Tamandua tetradactyla: one gene and its partners. The protein of the gene in region 2 interacts with the protein of the main gene of each other region in a pairwise test. Links are inferred from orthologs where the notes say so. Each region holds a gene or a part of one and is shown on either strand. Other genes may lie near its edges.

Region 1 (7,237 bases), on a different chromosome or scaffold from region 2:
GGAAAATAATGTAGTCAGCAGTGGTCAGTGTTACTACATTGGGTTAGAAAGAAACTCCTTAGTGCCTTCCAGGGAAATCCTTTGAATCCTTGGATTCATTTCCAATTGACTCTCTATTGCCTTCTCCATATATGCAGTCCCAGACATTTTCCATTCTTCCCAAGGTCTCAGTCATCTCACCAACGGGCTTCCTGCCTATCAACTTCCACATCTTCCCTTGACTCTGGTAGAGTTCCCTAGCATCTTGACTTCCTTCCCTCTTGTTTCTGAGGAAGCAAGGGCTCTCTCTTTCCATGTGCACTCTTGAATTAATCCTTTTCAGTACCCTCCTGGACGGCTCCTTTAGCCTTCCATCTTGTTAACTTGAATTTGTCCCTCTCGACATACTCCTCCTTCTCCTTGGTTTTCAAATATGCTTAACTTTCCCCTGCAAAACAAACCTCATTTCTAGCTACTCTAAGATACTGGAGACTAAAAGAGATATCAATTTAATGATTCAGCAATCATAGTCTTTTGTTAAATCCGATCTTCTCTGTATAACTCCATCATCACCTTTGATCTTTCTGTCCCATTCTTTAAGGGTATTTGGGCTATGGCCATCTAACTTTTTCATGTTGGAAGGGACTGTTAATAATATGGGACAGGGGAATGGAACTAGCTGATGTTCTAGAGAGGCTGGATTCTCTAGGCTTCAGGACTTACCTGGTCCAGTGACCCATCTGGAGGTCGTAGGTTTCTGGAAGGTTACCCTAGTGCATGGAACCTTTGTAGAATCTTATATATTGCCCTAGGTATTCTTTAGGATTGGCTGGAATGGTTTTGGTTGGGGTTTGACATTATAGGAAGCAATGTCTAACTGACGTTTGCATACAAGCAACCTCCAGAGTAGCTTCTTGACTCTATTTGAACTCTCTCTGCCACTTATACTTTATTAGTTACACTTCTTTCTCCCATTTGGCCACAATGTAATGGTTGATCCCACAGTGCCAGGGCCAGACTCATCCAGGGACTCATGTCCCATGCCACCAGGGAAACTTTCACCCCTGGATGTCATGTCCCATGTAATGGGGAGAGCAGTGTTTTCACTTGCAGAGTTGGGCTTAGAGAGAGTGAGGCCACATCTGAGCAACAAAAGAGGTCATCCAGGAGTATCTCTTAAGCATACCTATAGGTAAACTAAGTTTCTCTGCTACCTACATAAGCTTCACAAGATCAAAGACTTGGCCTGTTGATTTGGGTGTCCCTAAAGTGTGACACAGTATCAGGATGGGAATTGGTATTTTTAAAGTTTCCCCAAAGATCCTAATGTGCAGCCAGGGTTGAGAATCCCTGGTATAACCACAACTGAATGTTTGAGTCTCTCACCTCAGTGCTAATAACTTAACCCAAGCTTCACATCCTGGGAGGTGGTAGAGTGTATAGTTTATAGGAGTGGGCTCTGAACTCATACTTCTGGGACTAACTTCCAGCTCTATCATTTACTGGTTGTGGTTGAGTAATCTTGGATAAAATGTTCCTTTCTCCAAGAAGCCTCTCCCAATTTTTCCAGTCAGATTTAATCTCTTTGCTCCTTTGTGATCCCATAATATTTCTGTCCATAATATTTTCTGACTGGCTCATGATGAGCTGTCAGTGGATGTTTGTGTAATTGAATTACGATGATATGCATTGTATTGTCATTATTTGCATACATATTTGTCTTTAACACTAAATTTAAAACTCTTTGAGGGAAAATATTATATGCCATTTATCTTTGTATATCCTACGTATCCTGCACCTAATAGATTCTATTGTTTTTTATTCTATAGAAAAAAATTGGTTTAAAAATGAATTTTAGAGAAAGAAATAACATTAGCCAGGTACTCTGCCTAGGTTTATTCTCAAATATTGCCAAGCACAAGATTCAGTCTAGGTCCCTTCCAGCATTAAAATTTTATGCTTCTTTAGGATCTGGATCCTCATGGCCACCATTGTAAGCCCATATCTGCAAAATCATAGCTAAATCTGCCACTCTAACCTAACATAACCATTCACATATGAAGGGTCAGGTTATGGAGAGAGGTAATGTATATAAGCAATTCGAAGAAAAGTGATAAACACAGTTTCCCTTCACAGTATTAATCCCAAGGGTCACTGGCTGAGTCTGAAGACCCACAAGTAGTGCCTAATTTTAACCATTCTAACCCAAAACTCCCCTGGACAATTCCCTTTTCCCAAAATAAATTCATGCAGTTTGGTCGTTTCACTTTGATTGATTCAATTGTGATTCTGTGAAGTCATTAATTTTTTTTTTCCTTTCTCCCTCCCGCCCTCACTCCCTCCTTCCCTCCTTCCTTCTCTGGTTGGTGGGCAGCTTCCAGAAGCGCACAAGGGAGAAACAACTTCCACTGGAACCTCCCGTACATTTCTCCTGCTTTCAATTCCAGGCCTAGGCATGACCTAAAATTGGGGAGAACTTAAAAAGAGCAGAAAGGTTGTATACATTCTATTTAATTTATTTATTATGTTTAATGTTTAATGGCTGTATCTCACCTCCAGAATTTAGGCCGGGCAAGCCAGGGATCCTGTCAGTTTTGTTCACTAATGTATGCCAACCACCTCTAGGTTCTTACAGTGCCTGGCATACTCTTGGCTCTTAGTAAATACTTACTGAATGATTAGTTGTATCCTAAGTGCTCCTTCGTCGATGTCTTTATCCTCATGAGAAAAGGGGTGCGCTTAGTGAGTGAGGCAGAGTGAAGGACCACTCTGGAGTCCGGACCCTTACAGATCTCCAATTCCAGCATAGCTAGCGCTCTAAAGACCACTGCTTCGGGAAGTCCCACCCTCTAGGCGGGCTCTGGGCATAAGTATGCCGTCTATGATTGGCTGGGCTTAGATGATGGACATGAGAGACAACGAAGGAAGAGCCACGCTGTAGGTTTCCGGGCGTAGCGTGGATTCCGCTAGGGGAGCCGTTGGCGTTGGCGTTGCTAAGGGAGGACTTCGGGTCTTGTGAGGAAGTCGAGGAGGGTGACCCTGGGACGCGGCTGCGGGCAGTGCGGGTGAGTGTAGTTAGTTCTAAATTGTTAGTAGAGGGGGATTCTGACGGCCGTGTGGAAGCCGGGTCGGTGGACAGGAGAAGGGGGTGGGAGGAAGCGGGACCGGATGGATGGAAGGAGGTTATTGGGTAAGAGGCCTCAAAAGAGTTGTCTGTGGACAGTTGCGACCCGAAACTCCCATGCCTCGGTGTCTTCTCGTTATTTCACACGTACGCTCAAACACATACCCATTTACTTACTCTTCGAAGATCCGGGACCTAAAGGTCGGAGAGAGGTCGCAAGTGGATAAGGATGAAGAAGTGTGCGTTGTGGCCTTTTCTGCTCTAGGTTGGGGAACCTGGTTATAGTCCTTTACTTTTCTGCTTTCCTTGTATCTGACAGGTTTGAGTATGGCAGAAGGGGACACCCTGATATCAGTGGATTATGAAATTTTTGGAAAAGTGCAAGGAGTGTTTTTCCGCAAATACACTCAGGTATGTGCTGTAGGCTTTGGGGATAGCAGGTTTTGAGCCTGGGAACGAGAGACAGGTGCCTAACAAATATCAACTAGAAGAAGCTGGTTATTTGGCAGCTGCATGGCAGGTAGGTACTTTGTAGAGCAGTGGGTATGAAAATGCTTTGCAATGGGTAAAACTGTGTAAATGGAAGATTCTGTGGTTGTTATTGTTGGTCTTTTTCTAACAGTACTTCAGTATCTAGAATCACATATCACATGCTTCTTTCTTCCCTGGGGGAATAGAGAGCTCCCCCAGTCCACTCTGTTAAGGCTTCATCAACCCAACTCACATTTCTTGTGAAAAACTAACATTGATGGAAGAGATGGCATTTATGTAATTTATGTAATTGCTTCCTCCATAGCTGCTGCATTCTTTAAGACCCCTTTTACCTCACTTCTCTAACATCCCCCCCTTTCTCCATTTATTAATTCCTTTCTTTTCTTTTTAGCTTTGAAAAAATAATGACCTTTCCCAGCTGAAGCTTTTCTAATGAAAAATGCTTCATCCATTTCAGGATAGGCTTGTGAGGTCTGCTATTCCTACTTGAGTATTAAGGAGTGATTGAGGAGAGAAACATATTTATTGGCAGCCTCTACCTCTGTAGTGTCACTAATTTCCCCTCAGCCATGCAAAGACAAATGCAATCTCAATTCCCATTCTGCCTTCTGTAGGGTGAGTATTGGCTATTGCCTTCCCAATATATCAATATATTTTCAATATCTCTTTCCGATTACTTGCAAATTGTTTCCTCCTATTTCATACTCATATATGAAGCACCTGTTAGAAAAAGAATTGTTGAAAGTTGTAGCAAGACCTGTGTTCCCGTTGTTTATGCAGGATAAGTTCCTATAGTTTAATGAATGGAGGTGATGGCTTCAATGATAAAGTAGTAGAGGGAAAAGATCTATAAGGGGCACAATTGCCCCTCTTCCTCTTACTCCTCCTCTCCCATTTAGGGGGAGAATAAAGGAATGCAGAAGAAATAATGATTTGGAAAACTGCAAGAAAAAAAATCACTTTTTTTCTTAGACATAGCTTATTCTTACTACTTATAATCATTTAAATATATATGTTCATTTTTAACAGTTAGCTTTGTTTTGCTACAATCTGTAAGTTCATATCATCTACCATCTTTTTTACCATTGCTGTACTAGTGGGTATGAAGGGATATCTCTTTTTTTTTTTAGAGAAGTTACAGATTTACAGAAAAATCAACAGAAAATAAGACTTCCCATACACTGTCCCCCTTCCCCACTATTAACAGCTTGTGTTCGTGTGGTACATTTGTTACAATTGATGAAAGAATATTATTAAAATTTCACTATTAACTTTATAGTCCATAGTTTACATTAAAGTTCCCTGTTTGTGGTATTGTATTTAATTGTTGGTCTAGTAGCATATATTCAAATATATAATTCAGTGCTGTTAATTGCATTAACAATGTTGTGCCACCATTATTACCATTCATTACTAAAAATTTTCCATCACCTTAAAGAGAAATTTTGTACAATTTAAGCATTAACTCCCCTTTGCCTACCCCCGCCCTGGCCCCAAGTAACCTCTATTCTGATTTCCGACTCTATGAATTTTCTTATTCTAATTATTTCTTATCACTGAGATCACACAATGTTTGTCCTTTTATGTCTGATTTATTTCACTCATAATGATGTCTTCAAGTTTCATCCATATTGTCGCATGTATCAGAACTGCATTCTGCTTTATGGATGAATAATATTCCATTGAATGGCTATACCACATTGCATTTACCCATTTTTATTATTTTGAAAATGTTAGCCATTCTAGTGGGTGTGAAATGGTTTTGATTTGCATTTCCCTAATGGCTCTTGATGTTGAACATCTTTTCATGTGTTAGCAATTTGTTTATCTTCTTTGGAGAAATGTATATTCAAATCCTTTGCCCATTATTTTAATTGAGTGATTTGTCTTTTCATTGTTGAGTTGTAAGAATTCTTCATATGTTCTAGATACTAGTCCCATATCAGATAATGATTTACAAATATTTTTTCCCATTCTATGAGTTTTCATTTCATTTTCTTGATAACATCTTTGAAATGCAAAATTTTAAAATTTTGATGAAATCCAATTTATCCAATTTTTCTTTGTTGTTGCTTATGCTTTTAGTGTTACATGTAAGAAACCCTTGCCTAATCCAAGATCATAACAGTCCATGCCTATGTTTTCTTCAAGAATTTTATAGTTTTAGCTCTAAATGTATAGTTTTAATAAAATTAACCTATTTTAAGTTCATTTTTATATGTGGTGTAAGAGAGGGATCCAAGTTCATTCTTCTGCATGTGGATACCCAGTTTCCTGAGCACCATTTGTTGAGATTGAAAAACGCGTTGAATTGTCTTGGTGCCCCTGTCAAAAATCAGTTGACCATAAAGATAAGAACTTATTTCTGGACTCTCAATTCTATTCCATTGATCTCTATGTCTTTCCTTTTGCCAGTACCACACCATATTGATTTTGTAGGCTTGTTGTAGGTTTTGAAATTGGGAAGGGTGAGTCCCCTAATATTATTTTTTTACAAAATTATTTTGGCTCTTCTGGATTCTTTGCATTTCCTTGTAAATTTTAGAATTAGTTAATTTCTGCCCCCCCCCCCCCCAAAAAAAAGGCATCCTGGATATTGATAGTGATTGCATGGACTCTTAGGTCAATTTGGGGAGTATCTTCACAGAATCAAGTTTTCCAATCCATGAACACAAGATACCTTTCCATTTATTTAAGTCTTCTTTAATTTCCTTCTATGGTATTTTGTAATTTTCAGCATGTAAGTCTTAAACTTCTTTTGTTAACTTTATTTCTAAATAGTTTATTATATTTGATACTATTGTTAGTGGAATTGTTTTCTTAATTTCATTTTCAGATTGTTCATTGCTGGTTGTGATAGTTAGCTTCTAGTGTTAACTTGGCCAAGTGATGATGCCCAGTTGTCTGGGCAGGCAAGCACTGGGCACAGTTGCTGCAAGGATATTTTGTGGCTGATTGATAACTGGAAAGCTGGTGTATTAAATCATAAATCAATTGATTGCTTCTGTGGCTGATTACATCTGCAATCAACTAAGGTGCGTCTCCCACAAAGGAGATAATCAAATTAGTTGAAGACTTTTAAGGAAGATGAGAGACTCTTTTCATTCCTTCTTCAGCCAGCAAGCCTTTCCTGTGGAGTTCATCTACACCCTTAATCGGAACTGCCAGCTTCACAGCCTGCCCTACCGGGTTTTGTACTCTTCCATTCCCATGGTTGTGTGAGACGCCTTTATAAATCTCATATTTATAGATATCTGCTGTTAATTCTATTACTCTAGAGAACCCTGAGTGATACAGGTTGGTCCCAGGAGTGGTTCTTGAGAAACAGAATCTTAAAAATGGGTTTTTACAATTGGTTTTCTGCTCTGGTTAGACTCAAAGGATTGATGAATGGCACTGACAGTCCATGGGGTGAGTTGACAAGAGAGATACGCAAATTATCACCATTAGATTCTGTTAATTGTATCCTTATATGAGGCAAGACTCTGGATGAGAGTGTTTTTGACACCTTTATGGAGTTTTGTGGAATTAAGAGGAAAATGATGTTGGCTGGTTGTTGTTAAATATTCTGGATACAGTGATTAGGGAAAGGGATGAGCTGAAGTCTTCAAATTTACAACTTAAAGGCAGTACGAATGATGT
Region 2 (7,035 bases):
ACGCTCTAACCTCTAGGCTGACCCTGGAAAGCAGGATTTCTAGGCTGTAAATGACTTGAGGGAAGGCCCTGGAAGTGCTTCAGATTCCTCAGGCTGACCTGAAACCAACTGACCTAGCTTCTCAGAGCTGAAGGAGGACTTTATCATTTTATAGAGGAGGAAACTGGGGCTCAGAAGGCCATTAATTTGACTAAGGTTCTACAACTGGTTAGCAACAGAACCAAGGCTAGAACCCAAGTGTCGCCTCCTCTTTCCTCTTTTTAAGATTCCATGTCAGACAGGTGTTCTAGAGTCAGGGACAAGAGGAAAAGGATTTGTTTTAGAACCACTCAGAAATGTCCTTCACCTCTCGGACTGCCTGTGCCTAGGCCAGTGAAGTCTTTATTGGCCTTCAATGGGTCATTTGGCCTAGGGCCTGGAGAAACTGAAACAAAAAATAATCTCCAAGACTGAACTTGGCTCAACTGAGAGAACTGAAAAAGCTTCAAACAAGCTTGGGTGGAAAAGTGTGTGGGAAGTGAGACAGGCAGAACCTCATCCCAGACAGGGCCTTGGGGCGAATTGAGGAGGAGACACTTGTGGAGCTGAATCTCTGGGATTCTGGGATTAGTATGACAGTTTCCAGGAGAGGATAGAGGCCAGGATTAGGCTCAGGAGTGAAAAAGCAACAAGACTTGGGGAAAAGGGGATTGGACCCTGGGTCCAGGGATGTCTGCTCCTAAAATGTTGTACTTATGGGTGAGGGTTGGAAGGAAAAGGAAAACATAAACATTTGGGGAAGAGTGAACTTTTGCCCAAGTGCCCAAGAGCTTGAATTCCCCTCTGTGTTGGCATTGCCCCAAGGTCCAATTCTTATTATTCCCCTTTTATTCTGATATTAAGTCCTCTGAGAGAGACCATTAGACAAAAATGCTCCTTTTTACTGGTACCCCCTGTCTGTCCTGACCTTGGAAATATAGGCTTATTTCTCCGTGTGACCAGGATTTCCCATTGGCACTAGAATCTTGGAAATCCCCCATTTTGGAGAGGTTATAAAATAGATCCTGTCCTAGAGCTCCAGGGATGAAGTCTTTTTTGGTCTCAGGAACTCTCTTGCCAATTGCTTTGGAAATTTGTGTCTGCCTGCCAATACCACCACCATTGCTTTTCATCCGCTCTTAGCCGCCATTGCAACCTGCTTGCCCACACCTCAAGCCAGCAATGGGAATTGCCCTCTCCAGTGAAAACCCGGAGCCACTGATTTATTTGAGATCTCACAAGTATTTATGTCAGCTCCTAGGTCTTGGCTCCTAATTACAAGTCTCAATGAAATGTAGCATGTCACAATTATATTTCAAAGCCAACATTTTTGACCCAAGACATTTAAAATGTACAACAGATTTTTAAACTTCAGGGAACAGGCTAGGGAGTGGGTGACAGTGAGGCAGTGACAAGATGGCAGGCATAACTTTTCAGGTTGTCAGAGGCCCCCTAATGGGCAAGGAAATGGGGAAGATGAGGGAAAGAAAACCCATAGCAGCAGCCAGGGCAATTTGAGGGGAAGTAGGCTGGCTTCCTGCCAGGGCCAGGGTCAGGGCTTAGCACTGATGCAGAAACTATGGACAAAGTTGCAACCTTCCACTAACAATTCCTTTGAGACCAAAATCTCCTGTGACCATTTCCTTCAGGTCTCCCTGTGTGCTGATTACCAAACCTCTAAGGGGCAGCTGCAAATGTCCATTGCTGTTGGTTCCAACCTTTACTTTTTCCATCTCCTGTCTTTTCGCCAGAATTTCTCCCAGCCATCGGAGTCACTTTCTGGACTCAGGGGGAAATCTCTGGGTCATGTTGAAGATCCAGTAGCATCCATTCCCATGGTTTCAACGATAGTCCCTCCAAATGGTCCCCAGCATCAAGGCTCGTATTTCTAACCATCTCCTGCACATTTATTTCCCATGGGATGTGTTTTCTTCATCTTAAACTCAGATGCCCAGGCTAAGGTCATCTTTCTTTCCTCCAAACCTGCTCCTCTTCCAGACTTGCCCATCCTGGCTCAAACCCTGGAAACTTCTCTGGTGTCTGCCCTCATCGTGTCCCTCCTTACTCAGGAGATCACCAAGCAGTCATAGCCTTCCCATCCTTTCCATGGTTGCTATCACCACTGGAGCCCAAATCTGCATCACTTTGCAATGTAGAATTCGGAAGGATTCTTAGACAGACAGGTCCTTCCTCATATAAGAAAACCATGCTCAGTGGATTCATGGGGTTTGCCCAAAGTTACACTGCTTGGTAGAGGAAGAACTGGGATCGGCATTCTCAAGCTCAGATACCCCGTTCATGACTCTTGCTGATAATTCCTTCTTCTTTCTGTGTTTCTTCCCTTTTCAGAAACTTGCAATCTAAGCTCTTAACCGGCATTTGAGCCTTTTCTCAATTTGTTCACAATCTACCTCTCTTCCTACCCCATCTTTTTCTGACACAAATAGAGCTAGCATTTACTGAGTATTTGCTGTCTGACAGGCACTGTTAGAAATGTTTTACATGGACAACGTACTTGATCCTCACAAACCTAGGAAGGAGGATGCTGTTATTATTCCCATGTTACAGACAAGAAAACAGAGGCAGACTTTTCCCCAAGCCTGAAATTTCTCCACTCCCCTCCTCTCCGTTCTTTAATTTCTGTTTTCCAATACTGTTGAGGTTTTCTCTTTTCCAATAGCTCTTCTCAGAGTCCTGCTAACAGCAGCTATCTTCTCCCTCCTCTACCCAGAATATTTCCCATCCATTTGGCCTGCCCAACTGGTGCTCAGTGCGCCCTGCCCGCCTTGTGTTGGTTCCCTTTCTCCAACAGCAACTCGGTAGACAGCGACCGGGTCTAATAGGCCTTTGTCCCCTAGGGACCTCCACGGCACTGGGCCCCGATGCTCCCTCGTGTCCTTTCTGTCCAGTGCTCCAGCTTCTCTCTCCCCAGCGTCTTGCCACACAGGGAGACCCTGGTCCAGGACACAACAACGAGGGCCAGCGGGTAAATGCGGGGCAATCTTCTAGATTCAAGCATCCCATAAGGAGCTTTCAGGGCAAGCAGCTGGTTGGATATGACTGAGTTCTGTACTTGCTGTCAGATGTGCCTCCAGGCTAGTGAGTGACTTCCTTTGGTGCTATACAGAAAGGTCCCTAGTCACCTCCACCCACCTCTGCCCCCTCAGTTATGGCCTGGCCTTCCTCACCACCACAATCCTAGACCCCATATTCATTTGGCCCTTTAAGAATCAGATTCTTCTCTTCTCCACTGCTTGGCAGGAGACTGCTCCCCCATTTCCAGATTCCTTTCTTCCTCCTCTGTATTCTCTGGATTTCCTGACTGTCTCAGTGGAGTCCTTTACCTTTTCCTCCCTCGCCCATGAGCCCTACTCTCTCCTCCTTTCTCCCTAGTCCCTGACCTGGGTATGTCAGCCCGATTATTGCCTAGCTGTGTTACCTTGGACAAGTTACCCTCCCCCTCTGAGCCTTAGCATTCACATCTATAAAAGGAGACTGTATGGTGAGTGATGTCCTGCTGAGCCCAAGAAATTCATTCTCCCTTTTACAGGCCTCCCCACCTCCTCCCCCCTCTTGGCTCCTGTCTTGGGTCCTATCTCCCAGGAGGGGCCTGCCCTTGCCCAGGAAAGCTGTGGCTCCAGCTCCTGCTCCCTTCTAAGCCACCAGCCCTAGGCCTCCACCCCAGCTCTCACCCCCGCTCCATGTGGTCCGTCTGTGAAGCTGGCCCCAAGCCCTACAGCCACTCCACGTTTCTCTGTTTTTCCTTTTTTTCCCCCCCTCTTTCCCGAAGTTAACAAGAAGCAGATGTGGCGTGCGATGGTTGGAGAGGTGGGGGGAGGAGGGGAGGGCTGAACCGCCAGCCAGACAGGGGGAAGGGAGGAGAGTAAGCAAGGGAGGGTGGCCCGAGGCCAGGGCCCGCCCTACAGCCACTCTCGAGCCTCTGAACGGCCACAGGGGCAAAGCCCTGTCACCCTCAGGATCCGGTCATCGGGGGGAAAAGGACAGAGAGACCAGAGGAGGGCCAGCTGGGCCGAGGGGGCGGAGGCCCAGGAAGCAGCATCCGCGAGGGGCAGGGACCAGACGCGGGAGGCCAGGGGGCACAGAGAACAAACTCCCCTCAGAAGCAGAGAAGAGGAGAGCGGAAAGAACGAGGGAGGGACAGACAGGAGCCTGAGGAGGAGAGAGGAGGGGGAGAGGGGTCAGGCCAGGCTGTTAAGGAGGAGGCGTGTGGCTTGGGGCGCCGACAGGAAGCCGGGGCCGGGCCGGCGCGCTCTGTCCCGCGGAGCCGCAGCATCCCCAGGGGCTGGGCAGAGGCGCCAGCGGCCAGGCGGCCGGTCCGGGATGAGTCTCTGAGGACCCCCACGGAGTGACCCCCACCATGGCCCCCAGCGCCCTCTGGAGCTGCTACCTCTGCTGCCTGCTGACCACAGCTGCAGGGGCCGCGAGCTACCCACCTCGCGGTTACAGCCTCTACACTGGAGCCGGTGGGGCCCTCGGCCCTGGGGGGCCCCAGGCCCAGAGCGCCCCCCGGCCCGCCAGCCGCCACAGGTAGGACGCTGGGCCCCAGCCTGAGGCCGGAGATGGGTGGGAAGGGCTGATTGAAGGTGGGCACATGGGCCACCACCTCGGCTGCCCCTCTCCCAGGGACACGATCCCCTGGTGCAGGGGAGGGAGGCGAGAGCAAAGCCGCCCATCAGCTGGCTGCTCACGTATTACCTTCGTGAGGGCCGCTTCCTGGGTCCCCTGAGCGTCTAGGCTCCCCGTTGATGTCGGGGGATCGGGGGACCAGTCCCTGGGCCCCCACACAGAGACCTGCAGTTAGCGCCCAGGAAAGCCACCCTGAGGGATGCGGGCCAGGCCTGGCTGACAGCGGCTGGGAGGCCACCGGCCCAGGGGCCTTGGGCAGACCTTTGTCCCTTTCTAGGGCTTCCTAGGCCCATCCCGTAATCCATAACCCTGACGCCACTCCGCTCTGCCTCTTTCGGCTCTCCAGCCACACAGGCCAGCACGAACAAGGTTGAGTGTGAACTGTGGGCCCCAAGGGGGATAGGGTTTATTACCTACTTGCCTTGAGCTGGGCCTTGGACTGCCCCACCCTGTCCCCCATGGAACGGGGGGAAGCCAGCGTCCAGGGGGTCACCCACAGGCTCCCGCGAGCTGACTCTCACATAGCCTATCAAGCTGGGGACTGAGACAAGGCCAGAAAGGGACACAAATGAGTGTGTGAGAATCCCAAGGACCCCACAGCCAGGCGGACTGACTTCTCTGTGGTTGTGCCTTTCCATTCCATGCCTCTCCACATCTTGAAAAGTCTTTATCTGCTCCTGGCATAAAGGAAGGCGTGGGGGGCAGGGGGAACTGTCCTGCCAAAACCCCAGGTCTCGCCAGTCCCCAAGGGCCCCTCATCTTTTGACCCTGACCCAGCCCTTCGGGGAGCCCCCGGGCCCTCTGCTGGGGCGTGTCTCCAGTCCTCAGGCCCACGTAGGTTTGTCCCTGCAGGAACTGGTGTGCCTATGTGGTGACCCGGACAGTGAGCTGCGTCCTTGAGGACGGAGTGGAGACCTTCATCAAGCCTGACTACCAACCCTGTGGCTGGGGCCAGCCCCAGTGTCCCCGCAGCATCATGTAAGCTCCCATGCCAGGGGCTGGGCTGGGACAGGGGGTACCTGGTAGGGGCTCAGAGAGGGGCAGAAGGTGGGGGCCAGTTCAGAATTCGTCCAAAGCAGGTAGCAAGGGGCAGGGCCTAGATCAGAGCCATATTGAGGCGATGCTGAGGCAGTAGTTTGGCTGCTGGGACACGGAAGGCCGAGGCACCCACCCTGCCAGCCCCTGAATACCATCTCGGGATCGGGGGACTGACATCTCTGGGCTGGGTCACCCTCAGGGAAAAAAACACAAGGTTCCAGAGCTGGGCAATAGTGAGGGGAAGAGCAGGCATTTGGCCCTTGGCCAACAGGCTGACAGCTGTCAACTGAGTGAGGCGACACACTGGACACTCAGGGTCCCAGCCTGAGGGACAGGCCTTGGCACCAGCAGCTGCTCACCTGAGGACAGGGGCCAGGGCCACAGACAGGACAGGGAGAAACAAAAGGGCCCCTCTGCCTCTCCCAGGTACCGCAGCTTCCTCCGCCCTCGCTACCGTGTGGCCTACAAAACAGTGACGGATATGGAGTGGCGGTGCTGTCAGGGTTACACGGGTGATGACTGTGGGGAGGGGCCTGCCCCTGAGCTGGGTCCGGCAACTACCACGCCACGCCCCCAGCCCCGGCCCGGCCGCCCCAACCTCTCCGGCTCCAGTGCGGGCAGCCACCTCAGCGGGCTCGGGGGAGAAGGTGGGTATGGGGGCTGCTGGAGAGAGAAGTGGGGGACGACCCTGGGCGGGAACTGTGGGGCTGAGCTGCTGAGAAAACCCCATGCCCTAAGTCAGAAGAAAGGGGCAGAGGGAGCCAGTGAGATCCCTGAGGTTCCCTGCATGTGAGAGAGAGGAAGAGAGGGAAAAGCAGAAGGAAGGGGGAGGGGAAGAGAGAGAGAGCTCGTATGTGGATGCACATATGCACACACGCACACACACACACACATGCTCACACGCTCCCATGTGTGATCAAGATACTTCCTTGCTGGGAAGAGCTGCAAGAGCAAGAGGGGATTCCTTAGAGAAGCTTTGTCCTTGGGGAAAGAGTTGACACTGCAAGTGCTAGCATGCATCCCGGCTGACTGCAGGTCCCAGGCCCCAATGTGGCCTTTGGAGACTGCGGGTCCCACAATGCCGCCATCCCTGAGGCTCGCCTTCCCTTGCATGTGTGCCAGGCACTCCGGATGTGCTGTTTCCCTAGAAGAGAGATAGCAGTCCTCGTAATCAGGGGAAAAGGCACATCCAGCTAACTCTGACCACCCAGCTAGAGCCCCAGCAGGCTTGCCTTGTTTGTCCCCATGGTGTTGTGGGGAAGCACCTCCCAGTAATAACAGCCTCGTGGTATCCAGCGTGCCTCCACCACTCCCTTTTTGCTCCTCCTGACA
Region 3 (6,739 bases), on a different chromosome or scaffold from region 2:
ACCAGAACTTTCACAAATATATAGAGAGTAAATAATGCACCTTTAAACAAACAGTGGGTCAAATAATAAATTGCTAGAGAAATCAGTAGCTATCTGGAGACAAATGAAAATGAGAAGACAGCATATCAGAACTTATGGGACGTGTCAAAGGCTGTGCTGAGAGGGAAATTTAATGCTATAAATGCCTATATTAAAAAAGAAGAGGGTGAGACATGGTGGCTCAGCAGGCAGAGTTCTTGCCTGCCATGCTGGAGACCTGGGTTCACTTTCCGGTGCCTGCCTATGCAAAAAAAAAAAAAAAAAAAAATCAAAAAGAAGAACCAAAATTGACAACTTAACTGCTCACCTGAAGGAACTAGAGAAAGAACAACAAATTAACCCCAAGGCAAATAGAAGAAGAGAAATAACAAAGATTAAAGCAGAATTAAATTAATTGAAGAACAAAAGAACAATAGAAAGTATCTAAAATCAATGGACCTCTATCTAGGCAGATGAAGAAAGAGAGAGGATGCAAAGAAACAGAATCAGAAATGAGAGGAGGGTCTTTACCACAGACCCTGAAGAAATAAAAACAATCATAAGAAGATACTATGAACAACTGTATGCCAACAAATAGACAACTAAGAGGAAATGGACAAATTCCTGGAAACACACAAACAAGCTATACTGACATACTCTTAAACAATGTTCTGGTGTGAAACTGTCACGTACCTCAAAAAACCATGTTCTTTAATCCTCATGCAATATTGCTGGGTGGGATCTTTTTTAATGTTTCCATGGAGATATGACCCACCCAATTGTGGGTGGTAACTTTTGATTAGATGGTTTCCATAGGGATGTGTCTCCACCCATTCAAGGTGGTGTTGCTTACTGGCACCCTTTAAGAGGGAGCTATATTGGATAAAGCTTCAGAGCCAAAAGAGCCCACAAAGACAGAAATCTTCAGGCATTAGAAGGAAACCCCCTGGGAAGCCTTATGAAGTGAAGAGAGAAAGCTAGCAGACATCACCATGTGCCTTCCCAGCAGAGAGAGAAAACTCCAAACTTTATCGGCCCTTTCTTTGGAGTTATAGTCTCTTTCTCTGGATACCCTACTTTGGACATTTCTATGGCCTTAGAACTATAAACTTGCAACTTAATAATTTCTCCTTTTAAAAGCCATATCAGGGCGGTGCGATGGTGGCTCAGCAGCAGAATTCTCACCTGCCATGCTGGACACCTGGGTTCAATTCCCGGTGTCTACCCAAGTTAAAAAAAAAAAGCCATTCCATTTCTAGTATATTGCATTCTAGCAACATCAGAAAACTAAAATAAACAACAAATGAGTCAAAGAAATCACAAAAATTAATAAATATCTTGAGGCAAATTAAAATGAAAGCACAACACACCAGAAGTTATGGGGTGTAGCACAAGCAGTGCTGAGAAGAAAATGCATAGCTCTAAATGCCTACATCAAAGAATAAAGATCTCAAATCAGAGACCTAAATTCAAAACCAGGGGATCTAGAAAAAGGAGAGCAAACTAAATCCAAAGTGAGCAGTAGGAGGGAAATAACAAAGATTAGAGTGGTGATAAATGAACAAGAGAATAAAAAACAATAGAGAGACTCACCAAACCAAATGTTGGTTCTTTGAAAAAATCAATAAAAACAATAAACAATAGGTAGAATAGTACAACAAAGAAAAAAGATAGGTTAAATAGCAAAACTAATAAATGAATGGGGGGGTCATTATTACTGACCCCACAAAAATAAAAGGGACCCTAAGAATATACTATGAACAACTGTATTGTAACACATTAGATAACCTAGATGAAATGGACAGATTCAAAGGAACACATAAAATTACCTACATTGATTCAAGAAGAAATGAAAGATTTCAACAGATCAATAACTAGTAAAGAGATGGAATCAATAATCAAAAATCTCTTCAACAAAGTAAAGTCCAGGATCAGATGGATTCACAAGGGAATTGTATCAAACATTCTGTGCTGGTTTGAAAGGATGTGTGTACCCTAGAAAAGGCATGTTTTAATCCTAATCTCATTTTGTAAAGGCAGTTGCTTCTTCTAATTCCTACTCAGTATTGTATGCTTGAAACTGTAATTAGATCATCTTCCTGGAGATGAGATTTAATCAAGAGTGGTTGTTAAACTGGAATAGCTGGACGTGTGTCTCCATCCATTTGGCTGGGTCTTGATTAGTTTCTGAAGTCCTATAAAAAGAGGAAACATTTTGGCGAATGAGAGCGATTCAGAGAGAGCACAGCAGAATGACATAGCCACGAGAAGCAGAGTCCACCAGCCAGCGACCTTTGGAGATGAAGAAGGAAAATGCCTCCCAGGGAGCTTCATGAAACAGGAAGCCAGGAGAAGAAGCTAGCAGATGAAGCCATGTTTGCCATGTGCCCTTCCAGATGAGAGAGAAACCCTGAACTTCATTGGCCTTCTTAAACCAAGGTATCTTTCCCTGGATGCCTTTGACTGGACATTTCTATAGAGTTGTTTTAATTAGGACATTTTCTCGGCCTTAGAACTGTAAACTAGCAACTTATTAAATTCTCCTTTTTAAAAGCCATTCTGTTTCTGGTATATTGCATTCTGGCAGCTAGCAAACTAGAACACATTCCAAGAAGAATTAACACCAATTCTGCTCAAACTCTTACAAAAAAATTGAAAATGATGAAACATGCCATAATATTACCTCATACCAAAAGCAGTTAAAGATACCACAAGAAAAGAAAATTACAGACCAAAATCCCTTATGAATCTAGATGCAAAAATCTTTAACATAATACTAGGAAGCCAAATTCAACAGCACATTAAAAGAATTATACACCTTGATCAAGTGGGATTTATCCAAGGTATTCAAGGGTTGTTCAACATAAGAAAATCAATTAATGTATAACATCACATAAACAGAACAAAGTAAAGAAATACATGATCATAACAATTGATGCAAAAAAAAGGCATTTGACAAAATCCAGCACCTCTTCCAGATAAAAACACTTAGAAGATCAGGAATAAAAGGAAATTTCCTCAAAATGATAAAGCTTATATATAAAAACACACTGGCACCATCTTACTCAATGATGAAATATTGAAAATTTTCCCCAAAAGATTAGGGGAAGCAAGACAAGGATGCCCTCTGTCACCACTGTTATTCAAGACAAATTAAGGCACCAAGAGTAAGATACCTTCTCTAAGGAAAGGTTGCCGCATCCAGGGTACCTCTGTCACGTGGGAAGACACATGGTGATGTTTTTTGGCCCTTCTTCCCTGGTTCTGGTTTCAATGGTGCTATCAGCTTATATGGGTCCTTCTGGATTCCCCTGGGTCATCTTTTTTCACTGAGCTCTCCCCAAAATGTCTCTGGACATTTCTTTATCTCTTAGCTTCTCCTGCAGCATTTTCTTTCTAAGCTCACTCTCCGTGAGCTCTCTTAAAGAACTGCAGTAAAAGATTAAGATCCACCTTGAATTGGGTGGGTCACATCTCCTTGGAAGCAGCCTAACCAAAAAGGTCCTACCCACAACAGTTCTGTACCCAGAAGAATAGATTAGAAGAACATAGGGTTTTCTGGGGTACATAACAGATTCAAACCAGCACAATCTACAACTTCTGTAATAAAAACATTTAAATATTTAAGAGGGTGAAAAACCTGGTAATAAACATAAATCACACATGCATACATACATACAAATATGTGTCTGTATGTATATATAATTTTAGTTTTATATCTTTTTTTTTTTTACGTGTCATTTTAAAAATGAAGTTAGGGTGGTGCAATGGTGGCTCAGTGACAGAATTCTCACCTGCCATTCCAGAGCCCCAGGATCGATTCCTGGAGCCTGCCCATGCCAAAAATAGAAAAAAGAAGTTAAACTTTCAATTTTCAGATAATTGTAGCTTCACATGTAGCTGTAAAAAAAAAAAATAAAGAGATCTTGTGTTCGTTTACCCAGTTTTTTTTTTCCCCAAGTGGTAAAATCTCCGGCCAGGAAACTGACATTGATATAGAACCTTACAATCACCACAAATTTCCATCCTATTGTCTTTTTTCATCTACACCCACTTCTCTCCCTCCTTCACCTCTTCATCTCCTGGCAATTTGTTTTCCATGTTTATAATTTTTCTGACTTTAAGAACGTTACATATTTGGAATCATATAGTATGTTATCTTTTGGTATTGACTTTTTTTCCAGTGGGCATTATTCTCTGGAGAGTCATCCAAGTTGTTGGGTATCAATAATTCCTTCTTTTTAATCACTTTTTAATCGCTGAGTAGTATGCCATGGTACCAATTTGTTTAACCATACAGCCACTGAAGGATGTGTTAGTTGTTTACAGTTTTTGCATATTATAAATAAAGCTGCCACATTAAAAAAATAATAAAATAAAAGGCAAGACCACAGGCCTCACGATGGGATGCAGACCTTCCCTGGTAACCAGAGAAGGGCTGTGGGCGCACTGCTGTGTTACTTCTTGTGGTCTCTTCCATTGGAGAAAACCAAGATGACTGACGGGGCTATGCGCTGGGACACCTTGGCTCAGAGAGGCGCGAAGGGGTGCCTGTGCCTGTGCCTGTGGTGGAGAGGGGGAGGGTGGAGGGAAGGAGAAGCGGTGGAGAGGTATCATGTTGCACTGCCCTTCCACCGGGGTGGGGGTTGGGGGTCGGCGGTGTCGCACGGCCCTCACGTGACCAGGAGCTGCAGAGTGACGCAGCTTTCAGTGCAGTCTTCACTCCCGTCTGGGAACTAGCTCCGTGCCGCCGGCGCACAGCGGGCTGGCATCCGGCCCGGGCAAAGCGGGGCAGGTAAGGGTCCCGGGACCCGCGAGCTGTGGCGCTGCAGCAGCCGCCTGCTGACCCAAGCGGCGGGCACAGGGGGAAACAGCGCAGGGTTCCTGGCCAACTTCCACCCCGACACACCCAGGCATTTGGGGGAACAGAAATGGTGGCCCCTGGTGGGATGGGAGAGTGCAGAAAGGCTGGTATTCCAGGGAGAGCAACAGAGCAACCAAGAGAAACATGGGAAGTCGCCTCCCCCGGGGTCCCTGCTGGAAAAAGGCGAACACTGCGTGGGGAGTACGGGGAGTGGGGTGGCTGAGGGTGGAGACGGGAGACGTGGGCGATAGCGGCGAGGAGGTGTCTGTGAAGGCGCTGGGTGGTAGCGAGCCCGTGCCAAGCGCTCGGTAGCAGCAGACCTCCCGCTCGCTCCCCTCATCCCAGCCAACTGTAGGTCTGCGGGCCTGACGGTCAGGACGAGAATCCGGAGGAAGAAGATACCGCCAGGATAGGCCCAGGTCGGTGTGAGGGACCGTGTTGGGGGCGGGGCAATGTCGAGGCCAGTCTGAGACCCCCCCTCCCAAAACCCCATATCACCCCCACCCAGGTCCTCCATTTTGGTGCCTGCGGAATCCTGGAGCTGATATGTAGGAAAAAATGGTGGGCTTTGGGGAAGGGAGGGGTGATGGGGGAGTGGAAAGGAGAGACTTGGGCTGGTAGTTCCCTAGAGGGCGTACAAGTTCTCTCAGGTGGGAAAAATGAAATTTAAAAACCGTTGATATCCAGGGCTCTATGGCCTGTTGATCCGTGCATAATGCATTTAGTCTCTGTTCTTGCATTTGTCCTACTTCCGTTTAAAGAAGACCAGAAAAAAAATCTCTTCATGGCAAATATCCACCAGGAAAACGAAGAAATGGAACAGCCGATGCAGAATGGAGAGGAAGCCCAGGGCGAAGGCCAGCCACCTGCAGCAAATAATAGACAGGGACAGGCTCGCCGACTTGTCCCTAATTTTCGATGGGGCATACCCAATAGGCAGGTCAATGATGGGATGGGTGGAGATGGAGATGATATGGAAATGTTCATGGAAGAAATGAGAGAAATCAGGAGAAAACTTAGGGAGCTGCAGTTAAGGAATTGTCTGCGTATCCTTATGGGAGAACTCTCTAATCACCATGACCATCATGATGAATTTTGCCTTATGCCTTGACTTTTGCCATTATCCATGAGATTAATACTGTGATTTCCACTGACTTTTTCTTTGCATTTTCCTGGTATGCCTTTTCTGATCTGTTTACTGTGAATCTAACGCTATTTCCAAGTCAGTGGACCTTGTGCTACCAGTTTCTAGTTGGAGGTTGCCTTTACACCCAGTCTAAATCTGCCAGCCGATTTTCACCTGTTTGCATGGAAAGATGTAAAATTAATAAAGCAATTTAAAAAGCAATCTATACATTTATTATTGTCTCATTAAAAACATGTATACTTCTATATAACAAATATGAAGCAAAAAATCTGAAATTAAATACACCAGAGTGTTGGCTGGGGCACATTTCTGCGTAAATACTGCTTCAGCATATTTAAAATAGAGTAAACCTTAAGTCTTTTCCAGCCTTTTTACTCAGCAGAATAAATTCATCCATTACTACAGATGTATTTCTAAAGGATTAGTCTTCTGTTTTGTGAAATAGGGAACAATGCTTGCTTTACAGGGCTGCTGAGTAGAACAGATGAGGTGTGGAACTGTTTTAGGCTGACTCTTATCCAGATCCCCAGCATTTACGAGGACCCTGGACCTCATCAGTTAATTGGGGAGGATTAAAAGCCATTTGCACCTGTGCTCCCAAGGCTAGGTGGCAAAAAGGTGCGTTCCACCATACCACTCCTGATATTTGCAATCTCCTGCTACCCTGATTACTATCATGTCACTTGGGCATATTTTCTCTTCTGCTGGGT
Region 4 (7,778 bases), about 22 Mb from region 2:
TTTATTTATTTTTCTGGAGTGACGCAAGTGATCTACAAATGATTAAGGTGATGAATACACAGCTATGTGATGATGTTGTAAGCCATTGATTGTATGCCGTGTATGGACTGTATGTGTGTGAAGATTCCTCAATTAAAAAAAAAAAAACGAGAGAGAGAGCTGAAGATAATGGAGAGATTACTAATTAGTATTCTATGGCACAGTGACAGTTCTGTGGTCAATCCTTTCCCTATTTCCTATGTGCCTACCTGCTCAAGCCATGGTTAGGAGTTCTGCAGGAGATACAAATGTGAGATGTAAGTCTTGGCTTCAACAAGCTAAAATATACGTAAACATTAAAATACAAATTTGAAAATATACTTTTTTTTTTTTTTGCATGGGCAGGCACTGGGAACCGAACATGGATCTCCAGTGAAAATATACTTTTGAAAGAGGTATAATTTAAAGAGCTATAGGATTTTAAGGTAAGGGGAACTATTTCCAGTTGTAGGATTAATGGAAAAATCTGTGAAGGAGATGGCATTCAATTGGCTAAACTGAATATTGATAGATGGGTAACAGAAGGATCATACCCTATGAACGCATGAAAGGCAAGAACTGTATTTCATTCATCAGGGTGTCCTTAGTGCCTCACAATATGTCTGGAACAGGAAGGCATTAAAAAATACTGTTTTATACATTTGGGATGAGTAAGGGCATTCCAGGCAGAAAGAAGAGCATGAGAAAATGCTAGGCATGTGTGAGCAACATTAAATAGTGAGGACTGGCTAGTAAAAAGGGTTCAAGAATGGAAAAGACAAGGGTTCATGAGAGGGAATGGCAAGAAATAAGGTGGGAAAAGTAGGTTAGGGCCAAAACATGGAGTGCAATCAATGACAGACTACAAAATTTAAACTTTATTCTGCAAAAACAATGAGAGACCAAAGAAAACTTTCACACAGGAAAACATGACCCGAGGCGTCTACTAAAAGCACTCTGTTTGAAAAATAAATAAATCCACTGCACCTTTACCCATACTGCATGGATTTCCACCATTATAAATTATTTTATTTTGAGGCACAATCTCACCAGAAATCCTCATAGTACCCAAATTCTCCTGAGAATAAATAGAAAAAGCTGCTGTCATTCATTCATTCTTAGTGTAACAGACATCAGGGAACACTGTGATACACTGGGATGATATTTGGGAAATGGTAATTTTGACTTCTAATGTAAGCATAACTTTTCATCTCTGAGACACTGCCTTGAAAAGATAGCTTGGAGTGCAAAGAGGTTAATTACTTCATGCTTTTGTTTAAAAGCCAATTCTTTCCTTTCCAAAAACAAAACTGAATAAAAATGAATAGAAGAAATTACAATCTCCCTCAATGGAAAGTATTAAATTAATGGTCAGGAAGGTAAAAAATAATAAATGTGACAAACTGAACTCTTTTGAGAAAAAAAAGAGAGAGAAAAGCAGTTTCATGGAATTCAGACACCCTGATAACCATATATTTTAGTTCTTGCAGTTTTCCTCAGTGGAAGGTGGTAAGCAAAGACTACCTAAAATCACACTGAATCACAACTTCATCAACTGCGATAAAAAATAACTCTTCAAGAAAATACGATTGGACAATGACAATTTAAAAAGAAAAAGTTGAAAATCCAAACAAATAGATTTGCACCAAAAACAGTAATCAAGATGATAACCACTTGAGAAGCCTGTGAATTCCACTGAGTTAATAGAAACCAGGTATCCTGCTTGGATGGTTTTGTTTTCTGTTTTGTTCCCTTTCTAAAATTCAAACCTTGAATCTAGGCCAGAAAGAGCACATTTTGCTGGCTGGTCTGACAATGAGACGCAAGGAAAACACCGGGAAGCGTGCCTTTAGGCGTCCACCTAACGCCCTCTGGTTCCCGTGAAATAGGCAGGTGGGATGGGCACTCACCGCTTGTCGATGGCGTCTATGTTTGAATGGAGGAGCCACAGCTCCTCCGTGTTGTCCTGCCTGGAGGAGAGGATCAGGTGGTGGCCCGTCAGACACAGAGTTCCCTCGACGGCTGCATAGAAAGGCCGGTGCAGCACCACATTGTCCACCCGCGGGGTCTTGATCAACTCCACAAACTCCATGTCCCCCCAGCGTCCGCAGCCAGTGGACTGCCGAGTCCTGAGGTGCTGCCACACCGCCGCAGGGCCGAACAGGAGAATGACCCAGCCCTGGGCTTGCCGGAGGGGCGGAGAGCGGGGCGGGGAGGTCGGGCCCCGCCCCAGGCTGGGGTGGGCGCGGCGAGGCCTGCGGCCACGGTCACTGACCGCGGGAGGACCGAGGCTGGGGCTGGGCCAGTCTCGCCCGCACTTCCCGTTTCCCCGGGCTCAGGACTCGACCACAGAGAATGCCCCGCAGCAGGGCCAGCGGCTGCCGCCCCGACACCTGGAGGCCCCGGCCTCTGGTGGACAGGCTAAGGCGAGGAGGAGGCCGTTTTAGAAGCAGCTTCTAAGGCCGAGGCTGGGAACTCCTGGCGGAAGTAGCTGTTGGCTGCACGATCCTGGAGCAACTCCGGGCGGAAGCGGCGGAGCCCAAAACTCCGAAGACAGAGAAGGCAGAGCAGGAAGTCGAGCCCCAGCTGGGTCCGATGAAAATGCTTCCGGCAAGGCAGCCAGATCCGAAGATGTGTGGTCCTACAAGGAAAAAGCTTTTCTTTGCCTTCACATGCTACGCTCCTAATATGCCTTATCGGAAAAGGCCCAGTAAGATGGAGCGGCGAGACAGGTCCTGTTCTGCCTCCTTCCACGTGAGTAGCCCCTCTCCGCCGCGAAGGACTTATCAGAGCGAGGGGTCGCGGTAAATGGTGGCGAATTTCATCCAGTCGCCACGAAGAGAAGGCAGGTAGAGGATCGGATCAGCGGTTGTGACCCGGGAGAAGCTGCCAGGTGTGAGGGATGGGACACAGGGCTGGACGCCGCCGACTCACTGAGAGCTCCGTGCCACAGCTGCAGGACCTTGAACCCGAAAAAGGAAAAGCATGCAAATACCTGCTAGGACCGAGAGAGACATAACACACAATGCACAGAAGAGGAAGTGATTAATTCTATCCTATGAGAAAACCGCAAGTGACTTGCTAAAGGCTATGAAATCCAAGGCTAGTTAGTGTGTTCTGATTGCTCCACCTCACAGCCTCACCATTAAATACAATCCAGCTAAGCCAGATGCCCCAGTTATGCCGAAATTTATTTAAATGATTTCTCCTTGCTTGCTCTCCTCCCCCTTTAAACTAATACTTTAATTCTAAAAGAGGGAAGGGGGAAGAGGGGATACGCAAGGGTTTGAGTCCTGAACTGCTGTCACTTCATTAATCTTTGAAACCCTCACCATAGTACCTGAGAAGAGTTGGCCAAAGTCTTAGTTTTCGGACCCAAAGTAAATTGTCACAAATTCACATGAGATCACCCAACACTTGTCCCCACTTTTGTTCTTGTCTTTGGTAACATGTTCCAATCTTTAATCATGTTAAAAGATTGTTTAGCTGAGTCAAGTTTAGTTTAGCTTGTTTTCTGCAAACGGAAAACAGAAAACAAGAGAGAAGGGAGAACTGGAATTTTTGTCTTCCTTCTTTTTTGTACTTATCAATTCTGGAAGGGAGAATTTTCCCTGAACACTCAGAGAAAAGCTTTATGGAAAAGGTAACATTTGAAAGGATAACGCGGAAGGATGAATCAAATTTATACTCTAAATGAAATGTGACCAAGGTAGATATCCAATTTAATGATAGCTATGTAGGAAAGATTTTTTTCATGAACTTTTCCTTTTAATTTTCCTGGGGAGGGGGATCCTATGAAAAGAACATCATGTCATTAAGTAAAAAATGCTTAATCTTCTATAAAGCCAAAAACTTTTTTTACCCACGAGAGAAAATTAATATCACGCTGTATTGTTATAATGTAACACTGGCAACTATTAGAAAATTACTTCTACTGTGGGTTGAAGCTCAAAGCAAGGAAAGCCCTTGAGGTTTGGGGAAAACAAAAATTCAGTAGTAAAGAATAGAGCCTGGAGGGGGTGGGGGAAGAGTACAAAATGTTACTTTACTTTACTATGTGGACAGTAGATGGCAGTCAAGTTTAACAGTAATGAGATGGGTTTCCATTCTATTAACATAATTCAGTGAAGCTGTAATCAAGCACATTATTGTCCGAACTGCCTGGAAATAAGTGTCTCAGAAGATTCTGATAATCTAGGGAAGATGATGGCATTTATAATGCATGTGAAGCACTTACTCAGAACCCTACACATATTAAATTTTTACCATCATTCTGAGATAACAAATGACATTGATATATGATCATCTAGATGTGATGTTGTTCTATCAAATAATCAGCTAGCATTTATTGAGTACCTACATGGTTATCAGCACTGTAGGGACTGAAAACAGTGGATCTAGCATGACCCTTGCCCTTAAGGGGCAAAAGCTAATTTTGAAATGTTAATGCACCCAAAACATCTAATGAACAAAAGAAGAAAGATTACTAAAATAGTACTATTAACTATTGTCCATAGTTTACATTGTGTATATTTTCCCCCATGGACCACCCAGCTACTAACACTTTGTATTAGTGTGTTATATTTGTTATAATTCATGAAAGAACACTCTTATACTTGTACTATTAACTATAGTCTATTGTCTGCAATAGGGTTCATTGTGTTATACAATCCTATGTTTTGTCTTTTAATTTTTAATTCTAGTAAGATATATGACCTAAAGTTTCTTCTTTTAACCACATCACCTATATGATTCAATGTTGTTAATTAACCCTCACCATAATGTGCTACCATCATAACCATCCATTTCCAAACATTTACAATCAACCTAAATAGGAATTATGTATAAATTAGGCATCAGCCCCCATTCTCTACCCCCAGTCTACTGACTGGTGATCTATATTATAGATTCTGACCTTATGAGTTTGCTTATTCTAATTAGTTATCAGCGAGATCATAGAATACTTGTTGAGCCGCTTTGAAAATATTATGTACCCTAGAAAAGCCATGTTTTAATCCTGACTCAATCTTGTGGAGGCAGCTGCTTCTTTTAATCCTCATTCAATACTGTTGGGCAGTAACCTTTGATTAGGTTATCTCCAGGGAGAGGTGACATGCCCGATTGTGGGTGTGACCTTTTGATTACATGGAGATGCGACTCCACCCATTTCAGGTGGGTCTTGATTAGTTTACTGGAATCCTTTAAAAGAGGAAACGTTTTGGAGAGTCAGAAATGACAGAGCTGACAGAGCGAGAGAGAGAGAGAGCCAACAGAGAGAGTGGAGACATGGATGTTTGGAGATGGTTGGAACTAGCAGATATTGCTGTGTGCCTTCCCATGAGATGTTAAGCAAGCCAGAACCTGGAGAGAGCCAAGGGAAGCCAAGAGATGAAAGCCAGCCCCAGAGAAGCAAAGTGTGGGACCCCCATAGAAATAGAGGCTGAAAGCAATGGAGCCCAGGAGCAAGGGACCAGCAGATGCTCCAAGTGGCTTCCCAGCTGACAGAGCTGTTCCAGACCAACAGTCTTTCTTGAATTAAGGTGTCTTTTTCTGGATGCCTTAGTTTGGATGTTTTTATAGGTTTAGAACTGTAAATTTGTAACTTATTAAATTCCCCTTTTTAAGAGCCATTCCAGTTCTGGTATACTTCAGGCAGCTTTCAAATTACACACTTGTCCTTTTGTGATGGCTTCTCTTAGCATAATGTCCTCCAGATTCATCCATGTTGTTGCATGCATCAGAATTTCATTCCTTTTTATGGCTGAATAATATTCCACTATATGTATATATACCACATTTTGTTTATCCATTTATCTGTTGATGGGCACTTGGTTTGCTTCCATCTTCTGGCAATTGTGAATAATGCTGCTATGAACATCATTATAGAAATATCTGTTTAAGTCCCTGCTTTCTATTCTTCTGGGCAAAAAAGTAGCAAATGGAATTGCCAGGTCATATAGTAAATAGCTTCTTCAGGAACTGCCACACTGTCTTCCACAGCAGCTGCACCATTTTACATTACAATGAATAAGTGTTTTTATTTCTACACATCCTCTCCAGAACTTGTTATTTTCAGCTTTTTTTTTTTTAATAGCAGCCATTCTAGTGGGTGTGAAATGGCATCTCGTTATGGTTTTGATCTGCATTTCCCTAATAGGTAGTGATACTGAGCATCTTCTCATGTGCTTTTTAGCCATTTCTATATCCTCTTTGGAGAAAGATCTATTCAGGTCTTTTGCCCATCTTTGCTTGGGTTGTGGGTCTTTTTATTGTTGAGTTGTAGGGTTTCTTTATATATTCCAGATAATTAAACCTTTATTGGATATGTGGTTTCCAAATATTTTCTCCTATTGCATTAGTTTTCTTTTCACTTTCATGAAAGTCTTTTGATGTACAAAATTTTTTAGTTTTAATGAGGTCCCATTTATCTATTTTTTTTCTTTTGGGTATAAAGTCTAAGAAATCATAGCCTAACACAAGATCCTAAAGATGCTTCCCTATATTTTCTTCTAGGAGTTTTATAGTCCTGGCTCATATTAAAATCTGTGATCCATTTTTTGTTAATTTGTGTATATGGTATGAGATAGCAGTTGTTTTTCATTCTTTTGCATGTGGATATAAAGTTCTCCCAGCATTATTTGTTGACGAAACTATTCTTTCCCAGTTAAGTGGACTTGGCAACCTTGTCAAAAATCAATTGGCCTTGGATGTGCGGATCTGTTTCTGAACTCTCAATTTGATGCCATTGGTCAATATATTGATCTTTGTGCCAATACCATGCTGGTTTGACCACTGTAACTTTAATATGCTTTAAAGTCAGAAAGTGTGACAGGAAGAATAACACACAAACAAACAGTTGGGCAGAAACCCAATGACAATACTTCTGAGTGCAAAAGCCCAGGTCCTTTCCATTACACTAATTTAGATTAGACTTATCTTGCACTGCTTTTGAATGTTATGATTCAGAGCCTTTTCCTCTGAACTTTGGATTTTAGGAAAAAAAGAGCTTTTCTAAACTGAGGAAAGGAAGGCTAAAATTTCATTGTACACAGCCACAAAATGAAAGCTCTGAGGATACTAATATGATCAGTGGGCCCTATGTTCAGCTACTGCATTCTAATAGCCACATCCTCTATGTCTGCTTCCCATAGCTCAGTCATTGAGCCACTTCATTTTTTACCACAATGAGAACAACAGGAACCTAGCACCTTCGAAAAAAGTGATGAAGTGGGAACGAAGAGGGCCTGTCCAGACAGTATTGCTATGTAATAAAACAACTCCCCAAACATGCTGACTTAAAACAACATTCATCATTTGGTTGCTGGAGCAGAAACGATGGAGAAGAGGGAGGGCTGAAAGAACGAGGGGCTGGCCAGGCATCTCTCTCTGCCTCCTTCTGTGCTCTCAATGCTTCTCCCTGTGGCCTCTCCTTGGGAGGTAGTTTGGTATTCCTTCCAGTATGATAGCCCCAGGGCAGTTGGACTGCATACATGGCAGCTGAAACCTTCAAGAATGAGCATTCGTAGACGCTGCATCATCTTTTATGACCTAATCTCAGACATCCCATAATGTCACTTCTACTGTACTCTCTTTGTCTAAGCAGACACAAAATCCCATTCAGTTTCAAGGGGAGGTGATACTGACCCCATATCTCAAAAGGAGAAGTGTCAAAGAAATTGTGCCCCAGAAACTCTGTTGATAGTGGGGCAAATGTGTGTATGAACTTAACCTCCCCTAAAAAATGGGCATCTGGAAAGAGG

What was found.
Region 1: the proteins of EMILIN1 (region 2) and ZC2HC1C interact in binary tests that used the Homo sapiens proteins (3 or more experiments, as listed by UniProt). The two-hybrid records come from large-scale screens. The link is inferred for Tamandua tetradactyla from reciprocal best matches to the Homo sapiens genes EMILIN1 and ZC2HC1C.
Region 3: the proteins of EMILIN1 (region 2) and protein BEX3 interact in binary tests that used the Homo sapiens proteins (3 or more experiments, as listed by UniProt). The two-hybrid records come from large-scale screens. The link is inferred for Tamandua tetradactyla from reciprocal best matches to the Homo sapiens genes EMILIN1 and BEX3.
Region 4: the proteins of EMILIN1 (region 2) and MTMR9 interact in binary tests that used the Homo sapiens proteins (3 or more experiments, as listed by UniProt). The link is inferred for Tamandua tetradactyla from reciprocal best matches to the Homo sapiens genes EMILIN1 and MTMR9.

Annotation. Positions count from the first base shown.
Region 1 is NC_135338.1:34,146,130-34,153,366, reverse strand, and holds the start of ZC2HC1C (zinc finger C2HC domain-containing protein 1C), read right to left. Parts: upstream 3,011-7,237; 5' UTR 2,651-3,010; exon of another isoform or gene 2,527-2,650; intron 2,474-2,526; exon of another isoform or gene 2,354-2,473; intron 1-2,353. Other genes in the region: ACYP1 (acylphosphatase-1), read left to right, coding at 3,423-3,514.
Region 2 is NC_135329.1:10,850,849-10,857,883, forward strand, and holds the start of EMILIN1 (EMILIN-1), read left to right. Parts: upstream 1-4,035; 5' UTR 4,036-4,396; coding exon 4,397-4,566; intron 4,567-5,517; coding exon 5,518-5,643; intron 5,644-6,129; coding exon 6,130-6,350; intron 6,351-7,035. UniProt on the Homo sapiens protein: Involved in elastic and collagen fibers formation. It is required for EFEMP2 deposition into the extracellular matrix, and collagen network assembly and cross-linking via protein-lysine 6-oxidase/LOX activity.
Region 3 is NC_135353.1:70,565,459-70,572,197, reverse strand, and holds protein BEX3, read left to right. Parts: upstream 1-4,679; 5' UTR 4,680-4,813; intron 4,814-5,227; 5' UTR 5,228-5,301; intron 5,302-5,643; exon of another isoform or gene 5,644-5,646; 5' UTR 5,647-5,666; coding exon 5,667-5,993; 3' UTR 5,994-6,230; downstream 6,231-6,739. UniProt on the Homo sapiens protein: May be a signaling adapter molecule involved in NGFR/p75NTR-mediated apoptosis induced by NGF. Plays a role in zinc-triggered neuronal death.
Region 4 is NC_135329.1:32,776,391-32,784,168, reverse strand, and holds the start of MTMR9 (myotubularin-related protein 9), read right to left. Parts: upstream 3,023-7,778; 5' UTR 2,111-3,022; coding exon 1,929-2,110; intron 1-1,928. UniProt on the Homo sapiens protein: Acts as an adapter for myotubularin-related phosphatases. Increases lipid phosphatase MTMR6 catalytic activity, specifically towards phosphatidylinositol 3,5-bisphosphate and MTMR6 binding affinity for phosphorylated phosphatidylinositols.